Tribolium castaneum: one gene and its partner. The main gene of each other region encodes a partner of the protein of the gene in region 2 in a complex. Links are inferred from orthologs where the notes say so. Each region holds a gene or a part of one and is shown on either strand. Other genes may lie near its edges.

The links. The genes of interacting proteins can lie anywhere in the genome.
Region 1: Brr2 (region 2) and SmE share a complex: the UniProt entries of both Homo sapiens proteins name them as parts of the U4/U6-U5 tri-snRNP complex. The link is inferred for Tribolium castaneum from reciprocal best matches to the Homo sapiens genes SNRNP200 and SNRPE.

What each region holds. Positions count from the first base shown.
Region 1 is NC_087394.1:32,140,038-32,144,705, forward strand, and holds SmE (probable small nuclear ribonucleoprotein E), read left to right. Parts: upstream 1-2,779; 5' UTR 2,780-2,996; coding exon 2,997-3,281; 3' UTR 3,282-3,430; downstream 3,431-4,668. Other genes in the region: kelch-like protein 21, read left to right, coding at 144-328, 883-1,039, 1,099-1,264, 3,550-3,683, 3,733-3,892, 3,938-4,266. UniProt on the Homo sapiens protein: Plays a role in pre-mRNA splicing as a core component of the spliceosomal U1, U2, U4 and U5 small nuclear ribonucleoproteins (snRNPs), the building blocks of the spliceosome.
Region 2 is NC_087397.1:20,465,974-20,471,547, forward strand, and holds part of Brr2 (U5 small nuclear ribonucleoprotein 200 kDa helicase), read left to right. Parts: coding exon 1-2,085; intron 2,086-5,574. UniProt on the Homo sapiens protein: Catalyzes the ATP-dependent unwinding of U4/U6 RNA duplices, an essential step in the assembly of a catalytically active spliceosome. Plays a role in pre-mRNA splicing as a core component of precatalytic, catalytic and postcatalytic spliceosomal complexes.

The sequences.
Region 1 (4,668 bases), on a different chromosome or scaffold from region 2:
ATTAGAGTGGGGTTTTTGTCAATGGTGCGCCGTGTATTTGCGCAGCAGCGACTTAAACATAAGCCGGCTTAATGGTACGATTTTCAAATAATCAAGATATTTGGTCGAAATATTTACAGTGTTCGAAATGTTTTTAGCTTAGGATGGGATCTCGAGTTGGAGGATTTAATTCAGCTGGTTTGCCAGCTGATAAAGCTTTAGCGGGGGTTCCCCGATTGTTGGATGATTTGCAGCGCCTTTCTGAAGACACGGATTCAGCAGACATTGTTTTTATTCTTGGGAGAGACGAAGAACGTGTGTACGCACATCGAGTAATTCTTATGGCCAGGTGAAAGAATTTTTCTAATTACGTCCTTAATAAATCCCTTGTGCTTGTTATTTTTCAAGTTTTTCAAAGCTGTTGGTCTTATTTTGTCGTAATTAAGGCTTATATAATGAGAAGATGATCAAGCAAGAACAAATTGTTGGACTTTATAAAAGTCTGAACTTTTACAAAGTTGCAGAGACAAGGAACTATGGTTTCGCGCACCTCTCATTAAAACATCAAAGTTGTTTGCACCTTTGTTCTTATCTACTCGTAACTTTATTGCTCCACTCATATAATGACGCTAATAATAAGTCTCTTTCTCTATCTCAACGACTCTTGTTTCTGATGTCTAATTGGATATCTTTCGAAAATTGCTTTGATCCTGTGAGTCCACTATTGTGAGAGAGCACCTACACGCGCTGTACATTATTATGCATTTTTCTCCAAACGCATAGATGCATAAACTCATATGCCTGAGTGGCTGACGGCGGCTCAAAGAAACAACTAAAATGTAGCTAATGGAAACGTCTTTGTATCTTGAAGCTAATTATTTCATTCTTCAATATTCCGCTCAGATGCAAGAGTTTTCAAACGGCCAAACGCGGTGAAGTGTGTCGTATTCCGGGATGTTCTGTTTCTCCAGCAGCCCCAGGAACACCCACACCTGTGCGTCTACCGCAGGCGCCTCCTGACACTTTCAAGCAGTTCCTCCTTTATGTGTACACAGGAAAGGTTGGTATAAATTACCGATTATTTGTTTATTTTATACTGACAATAAAGACGTTTGCCAGATACTGCTGCAAGACAGTGGAGTTTTCGAAATGTTGGCGCTTGCTCAAGAACTGGGGGTTGATGAATTGAGAAATGCTTGCGAAGATCATGTCACTTCAACCTTGTCTGTTGCTTCAGCCTGCACTTTTCTGGCAGCTGCGATGGACATACAAAATCGGTCCCCAGGTAAGTGAAAAATTAATTCAAAATTGCTCAACATCAAAAACTGTAATTCTAAATAAATTTGAGATTAAAAACTTACTAAAGAATGGGTAAGTATAGAGGTATAAAGCTAATGAAGAAATAACTAAAAAAGAAATAGTGACCTAATAGTGCACTTAGAGTCGCCCTGACTGCCTATAGAGACGCTGTATCTCTATGCCATTTGAGCATTTGAAAATTGGGAAAAAACACTCAACCCCTATGCACAGATTTCATATAAATGATCCTTTGGTCCTTTGGGATCGGCTAGGGCTCATTAACATCAATTTTGTATCGTTTTGGCATTAATTTTGAGATTTTTCTCGCCTAATTCTAGTTTTTGGGGCTATTAAGACTCAAACAACACTTTACACTTCATCACAGTTTGGAAAATATAAATAATATAAATAAAAATAATCTCCGGTGCAAATAAAAAAATTAAGGTTCAAAGAGGTTTTGGGCCGCAAAGGTGTAGCACTTACCTTACCCAAATTGAAAAATGTGTCTTTTGAGCCGGTTTTTCCCCGAGTATTCTCCATAAACACAGTCAAGGGGCAGGTCGTTGTGCGCATCGCGCCAGGTCACAGTCTGCGCGCCCGCACTTTCAAATTCACAAATATTCCACAAAAACAGGTGCCCCACTTTGCATTTTTGAACCACCCAGTCCAAATAATCACTAGTTTCGTTCGATTTTCTGAGAGATAACAACACTGACTGACAATCACGCGATGACAACTGTTAAAAGCAGCATCCATTTGGTGCAAAGTCAAAGCACTCTTGGCAATTTTTTCTTAAGTGTGATTTCAGGCATTTATCTAACTTTTTGAGCAAAATAACCCTTCCTATTCAGTAAAGAGTTGATTTAAATGTCGTTTCACATCTTTATATCGAGTTTATAGCTTGTCGTTTTTTTCTTTAAAGTCACGTAAAATTATCCCGCCAAAACCAAAATTGTGTCATTAAGGGTAACAATGACAAAGAAAGACCTATTGACGATTGTGTGTGTGTAAGACACGGCGCAACTCCTCATATTAGCTATTTCAAAACTATAAAAACGCCAACCTCGTATTTTCTCTCAAAATTAGTTGTTATAAATTATTTATGCACTTCAAAAAACTAATAGGTAATGTTATTTATAGTCTCAATGATTTATTTATTAATAACTATTTTACATTTTTATCAACCTTATTAAAAAAAAATTGAGTTTATGAGACACCAAGTTCAAAAAAAATATATAAAAAACTATCACGTCAAAGAAAGCTAAATGAGAATAAAAAAAATTTTTTTCGAGACATTTACGCCCATCTGATGATAATTATGGAATAACTCAGCTTGATTAGTTAAGGAAAACCCAAAATATAAATTGTGCGACTATAATTCTGCGTGAATAATTTTGGAAAAAAAATGGGACGTTGGTGTTTTTATAGTTTCGAAACAGCCTAAAAACGACCAAACCACCAGACCTTTTTCTGGTGTATTTCAGCTCGTCAAGCTTCCCGCGTTCCACGATTGCCAACAGAATACAGAACTCACACAGATAACCTTACTTTGGTCGTATTGTAAGCGTCGCCTCATTTTTTAAGTTTTATAAATACTATTGCAAACTTTGAACAAGTTTTTTTCTCTTAATACGAATAATTCGTGCTGTGTGAAAGTGTGTTTGCACTTAGCTTCCTTAAAGAACTTTTTTTGCCGGTAACCCAAGACTCCTCTAACCATGGCGTACAAACCACAAAAAGTTCAAAAAGTGATGGTACAACCCATCAACTTAATTTTTCGTTACTTACAAAACCGTTCACGTGTACAAGTGTGGTTATACGAGAACATTAATCTGAGAATCGAGGGGCACATTGTGGGTTTTGATGAATACATGAATCTTGTGCTGGATGATGCTGAGGAATATTACGTTAAAACGAAGAACAGGAGGCAGCTGGGAAGAATCATGCTTAAAGGAGATAACATAACGCTGATACAGAACGTGAATCCTCAATCAGGCAATTAGTTGTAAATTGTAGCGTAATTCTAAGTTTCATAACAATTTTTTCATTCGTTGGAGTAATGTGTTTGTATGAAAACCGCAATTGGTCTTAGTATTAAGTGATTCATCAACTTTCTGTAAAAGAAATGCGGACATTAAAATTATTTTAGTAATTATGTCTATTTTTATAACTTCAAAGTCCTTAAAATTAAAATGTGATGGACAATACAGGTAATTATCGCTTTTTTAGAATTGTGAAGCTTGTAGGTGTTCCAATATATTTTTTTTGTAGGGGGTAAAGCTGCGACAGGTTTTGTCGAACGTTGCGTCAGCTACATTGGCGAAAATGCTGTAGAATGTGTAAAAACAAACTCATTTCTTTCTCTTCCCAAAGAAGCAGTCTTAAAATTAATCTCCTCAGATTATGTAAGTTTTAAAATTTTACTTAAAATCATTTATTACTGTTTCAATTTAGCTCTGTTTGGAGGAAGAGGATGTCTGGAGAGCAATTTTAAACTGGGCAAAGTACCAAGCTGGTGTCACCCAACCCACAGCCCATTGGACTGAAGAAGAGAGGGCCAGAGTGTGCCAGCACCTCTCACATGTCATTTCTCACGTCCGCTTACTTCTGATTGGTAAATTAAATTTTTTTTTTCTCTTATTTATTTGTAATATTATAGACAGCCAAGTTTTTGCCGAAGAAGTTGAACCAACTGGAGCCGTTCCAATGGAGCTCAGTTTGGAAAGGTACAGACATGCTGCGCTTCCTAGTAAATATCCTGAAGGAGCAGAGGACCAGAGACTGCGTCCAAGGGTATCACCTCACTTATTCCCGGGTTCGCTAATTCTGGGTCAGGATAAGAGTCACTACCAAAGGGTGCTCAATGCCTGGTTCGGTAATCCCAAGCAGAGTTGGAGACTTATTTACAGGGCTAGCAGTCATGGGTACTCTGCATCGGCTTTTCACAGACACTGTGATGGGATTTCGCCCACTTTTGTCATAGTTTTGGTAAGAATTTTGCGATTTATTTTAGCTGAGCCGTGAATAAAAAAAAACACGTACGCATACATACATATTTGCTTAGCGCTTTGTTGAAAAAGCCTCCATAGTTTGTCCTCAAAAAATAATCATGTATTAATCTCAATCATAAAATACAATATTTGTTTTTGTAAAAAAAATGTATTATATCACTGGTAGAAAGATGATTCACTGAATTAATGGTTATAAATAAGAGAGAATAAATAAACCATGGGCAGATCAAGATCTACAGATATGTGAATGAGAAAATATAAAAAATAACTGCTCTATTTTTATTTAAAAATTGTTTAGCATCCACGATTTTATCTCTTGGTCAGTAATAAAAGTAAAAGCAAAAGTATTGGGATTTTTTTTCTTCAAATTATTAATTTA
Region 2 (5,574 bases):
GTACGAGATGCCGTCACATGGTTAGGTTACACGTATTTATACATTCGAATGCTTCGACAACCAACTTTGTACGGTGTTTCACATGATCATTTCAAACAAGATCCGTTATTGGAACAACATCGAGCTGATTTAATACATACAGCTGCATTGTATCTCGATCGTAGTGGTTTGGTTAAATATGACAGAAAAACCGGTCAGTTTCAAGTAACCGAACTGGGACGCATTTCCTCGCATTATTATTGCACCCACGAAACGATGCAAACTTACAATCAATTGCTCAAACCAATGTTGAGCGAAATTGAATTGTTCCGCGTTTTTTCCCTATCGTCTGAGTTCAGGAATATAACAGTCCGTGAGGAAGAGAAACTTGAGTTGCAAAAATTGATGGAACGTGTTCCAATCCCGATCAAAGAAAGTATCGAAGAACCAAGTGCCAAAGTAAACGTACTGTTACAAGCGTACATTTCTCAACTAAAACTGGAAGGTTTCGCACTTATGTCCGACATGGTTTACGTAACACAATCAGCTTCGCGTTTAATGCGTGCTATTTTTGAGATTGTTTTACACAGAGGTTGGGCACAATTGGCCGATAAATCGTTAGCTTTGTGTAAAATGATTGATAAAAGAATGTGGCAGTCGATGTCACCGTTGCGCCAATTTCGCAAAATGCCGGAAGAGATTGTGAAGAAAATTGAAAAGAAAAATTTCCCATGGGAACGTTTATACGATTTGGGACCGAACGAAATCGGCGAATTGATTCGGGTCCCAAAGTTGGGCAAGACTATCCATAAATACGTTCATCAGTTCCCCAAACTTGAATTATCAACGCATATTCAACCAATTACCAGGTCAATGTTGAAGGTTGAATTGACCATAACGCCTGACTTTCAGTGGGATGAGAAACTTCATGGAGCGTCTGAAGCGTTTTGGATTTTGGTGGAAGATGTGGATTCAGAGGTTATTCTCCACCATGAGTATTTTTTGCTCAAAGCGAAGTATTCACAAGACGAGCATTTGGTTAAATTTTTTGTCCCGATTTTCGAACCTTTGCCACCTCAGTACTTCTTACGTATTGTGTCAGATCGATGGATCGGAGCCGAGACACAATTACCAGTTTCTTTCCGACATTTGATACTACCAGAGAAGAATTTCCCACCAACTGAACTACTTGACTTGCAACCTTTACCAGTCACTGCCTTACGGAACGATAAATTCGAGTCGTTGTATAACGACAAGTTCCCGCAGTTTAATCCAATTCAGACGCAAGTCTTCAATTCGGTTTACAACGGTGATGATAATATTTTTATTGGTGCCCCGACCGGTTCTGGAAAAACTACAATCGCTGAATTTGCGATACTTCGCCTTTTTGATAAAAACCCGGAAGGTCGGTGCGTTTATCTCGTTCCGAAAGATGCATTAGCTGAGTTAACGTTTGCCGATTGGCACAATAAATTTGGGCAAATTTTGGGCAAGAAAGTAGTGCTCCTAACTGGTGAAACCGGGACTGATTTGAAGTTACTGGCAAAAGGTCAGATTGTTATAAGCACGGCCGAAAAATGGGATGTATTGTCGCGAAGATGGAAACAAAGAAAGAATGTCCAAAATGTGAATTTGTTTATCGTTGATGAGTTGCATTTGATTGGTGGGGAGGATGGGCCTGTTATTGAAGTTGTGTGTTCCCGCATGCGATATATTTCCTCACAGATTGAGAAACCGATCAGGATTATAGCATTAAGTGCGTCGCTTATGGATTATCGAGATGTGTCTCAATGGTTGGGTTGTAATGCCAATGCAACGTTTAATTTTCATCCGAGTGTGAGGCCTGTACCGTTGGAATTGCATGTACAGGGGATTAATATTACACATAATGCGTCGAGACTTATCGCAATGGCGAAGCCGGTTTATAATGCTGTGGTGAGGTATAGTCCACATAAGCCGGTTATTGTTTTCGTACCGACGAGGAAACAATCACGTTTGACTGCAATTGATTTACTTACGTATGCTGCGTCTGAGGGACAGTCTAATAAGTTTTTCCATGCGGAGGAAGAGGATATTAAACCGTTCTTGGATCGGATGACTGATAAAGTAAGTATGAGTTACATACAAGGTTTTATGCGCAAGTTTTGTAAATTACTCAATTGATTCAAAAACGGGTTTTAATTGTGGATCCAGTTTCCTTTTTTTTTTCTTATCGAGGTAGAACTACAAATATGTCTCTCCACTCTGCGAATTTTCAGTAAATACCCAAATACGATTTCCAAACTCAAGTCTGATTCAATAGAGGGTTACTTCTGACATGTCCTAAGATGCAACCAAAAATACCAATTGCTCTTCGGAAATAACCCACTGTTAGCTCACCCCATGGACTCACCCTGTATTTACTACAATTGGCCGAATTATCAATCTTTGAAAAGGCAGGTGGAAATTTGAGTTTTCTCTACTCTAAATATTTTGAAAACAGCTAAGCTATCTTATTAGAATAACTCGAATAATTGAAAAAGGTAATGAAGATCATAGATTTTTATTTTAAATACCAAAAAAATATCAGAAACTGATAAAACAAAAAATTGCACAACTAGGAACCGGAAGAAAAACTATTCGCATTCGCTAACTCGTTTTATTTTTACTTACATCATTTTTCAACAAAGTATCGACTTTTGTCATAGACAGAAGCACAGGTAGGTCAGAGTTTTGATTATATCCAAAAATGGCTATTTAAGTGACTTTTTGCGTTTTTATTGAATTTCCACTAATAAAAGTGAAAATCTATCATATTTCGTTCATAAGAAATAAAAAATAATTTGACTTAATTTAGATTTCAGTTAATACATTTTAGAGCCTAATATCAAAATGGAGAAACAAATCATCTCAAAATTTTTTCTAGAGGAAGTTTGCTTGAAGATTTCCAATCTATTTTTACCTCTTATCCACAACACTAGAAACAGTTTTTGAGATATTGGTGAAAGTTTGGTTTCTCAACATACATTAGTTGTTGTAAAAGAGTACTTTTAGTTTTTATATTAAAATTAACTAGATCAGACAATTGAATCTGTGATCTATATTCATTTTTTGTCTACGAACGATAATTTTTAAGCCATCAGTCAAAGTTTGAGGGGCTGATTAAAATTTAGTTAATCAAAAACCAAAAAATATACAGGGTGTCTCAGCTAAGACTTTCGAGCCTGATATGTCAGATATTTGTTAACGGATTTTTGTGAAATTTAAAATGCAGATATTTTAGAAGGTAAAGATTAAAATTCAATTAATGCAACAACTCAAGTCTTAAAAACGTAATTTTTACATGCCTTTTTAAAATGTTAAGCCTTTTAAGATTTTTATTAAAAAATTAATCATCAATGAAAAATGATGTAAGAAAAAACTCGTTTGTGAAAGAAGTTTGTTCTGCAAGAAAAATGAGAAACAAACTGTTAAACGTGGATACAAATTCAAAAGGTCCCTATAAAACATATGCGCGCTACCACTAAATTTTGGTTACTCCTACTCGCACAAACGTGTCACGCAAATGACATTTCACATTTATCTCTCATCCTTACAAAGTTAACAAACAGTATTTTTAACTTCCTTCTTGTACTGGATGCTTTAATTCGTTCAAAAAGGACAAAAAGACTGAACAACTGAAAAATTTTAGGCACTTGAACGTTCAGGAGTTTGGAAATGTTTATCGTACACTGCTGATTAAATTCCCTTCAAAAGCTGATGTTACAGCCCCAGCTATTGCTTCGCTTCCAGTGACGACTTTTCATTTTATCCTCATTCGATTTAGTTCACGTACGCTTCCTGTGTCTTCAAATTATTGAAGATTCTTTGAACTTTAAACTTCATGAATAACATTTCACAAGAAGTTCAACGAAACTTTTTATGGAGGAATATTGTTTCCTTTTTCAACAACACTGAAATTTCTGTGTTTTACTTTTCTGATAGCGCACACACTTTTGACAGATTTTTTCAATGGTACACAAAATGCCGCATAGAAATGCTTCATCAATTGTTTCAAAAGGTGACTGCCCAAATACTTTCCAAAATTTGGATTAAGTTTTTAACAACAAAACCTAATTTTTTTTCTTGGATCAGCAGAGCGATTTGGTGAATTTTTGTGTGGCCATCTATATTTCCTAGTTTGACTTAATCTTAAATAAAAGAAATGTGTTTTAAAATTACATTTTTTAACTTGAGGTCATTTTTTTGACCCTAATTGAAAGACCACCTCCTAAAATATGTACATTCTAAATTTCATAACAATCCGTTGGCAAATAACTGAGATATTAAGCTCTATATACTATATTGTTTTTGTCTGGGATTTCTAAACTGTCTTTATTTCTCATCTACAACTAATAAGAGTTTTTAAAAACGAAGATCACATAATGTGACCACGTAAAAGGAAAATTACTGTTTTTGGCAAAAATATATTAGCTCAATTTGTTATAGCATCATTTAGGCTTGGTGTTCTAGTACGATTAAACTTCAATTTATTCTTATCTCTCTGTTATTTGGTAAGTATTTGACTGACGTTGCTATGTTTTAACTGGGTTTTAAATTCATTTTTATAAATGTTTCCAGAAACTGGGCTTTAAACATTTACATATTTTATTAACTTTTTATTACTGATAAAAATAAAAGGATAAAACTTCTGTAATATTATACTATTAACAAACTTTTTTCAACAAGCTTTTCAAAACTATAGAAATGCCAACGTTGCATTTTAAATAAGGTTGATAAAATGTAAAATAGTTATTAATGATTAGATCTCTCATTGAAAGTATAAATTACATTAGCGCGTATTCTGTAACTTCTTAACGGGTGGTTAAAATTTAACACTGGTTAAAATCGAAAATTAGAAATTTTATTGGTTATTACTATAGGAACAACGATTAACGGTCTTTAAATTTTAACGGTTTCGTTACAGAATACGGGTTATAAGCGCGTATTCTGTAACTTTTTTAACGGCTTGTTAAAATTTAACGCTGGTTAAAATCGCAAATTTAGCTATTTTATTGGTTATTGCTACACCAACAACGATAACGGTCTTTAAATTTTTACAGAATATTAGCTGTTAATGTTTTTGAAGTGCATGAACTACTATAAATGTTAGAGAAAATGCGACGTTGGTATTTCTATAGTTTTGAAACAGATAATAATATGCTATTTGGTTCGTTAACAAAAATTGGTTGGAGTAATAGGTGAGTACGCGCTTTTAATTTTTTTAATGAAGTTGAACAGTTTTGACACAATACTGCAGCTTTTCAAATGTAAAAATATTTAAGGATTTTGAATTTGTTTTCATTATTTGTCTACGAGGGATAATATGTATTTAAGATATTTGCCAAAGTTTGAGGAGCTGTTTACAATGTAATTTGTCATAAACCAAGATTTTTTCAAAATTCGTTTTGGTAAAGTAGAAAATAAAACCAACTCATACGTACGTTATTTTCCTTGCAGAATATTGTTTGGGGATTCTGCAGCTGTCTTTATTTTTCATCATCAGTTTAAACATATTGATTAAAGTTTGATTCCCCAAGATAAAAATTTGTTTGAGTCAAGGTTGTTTTACGAGGG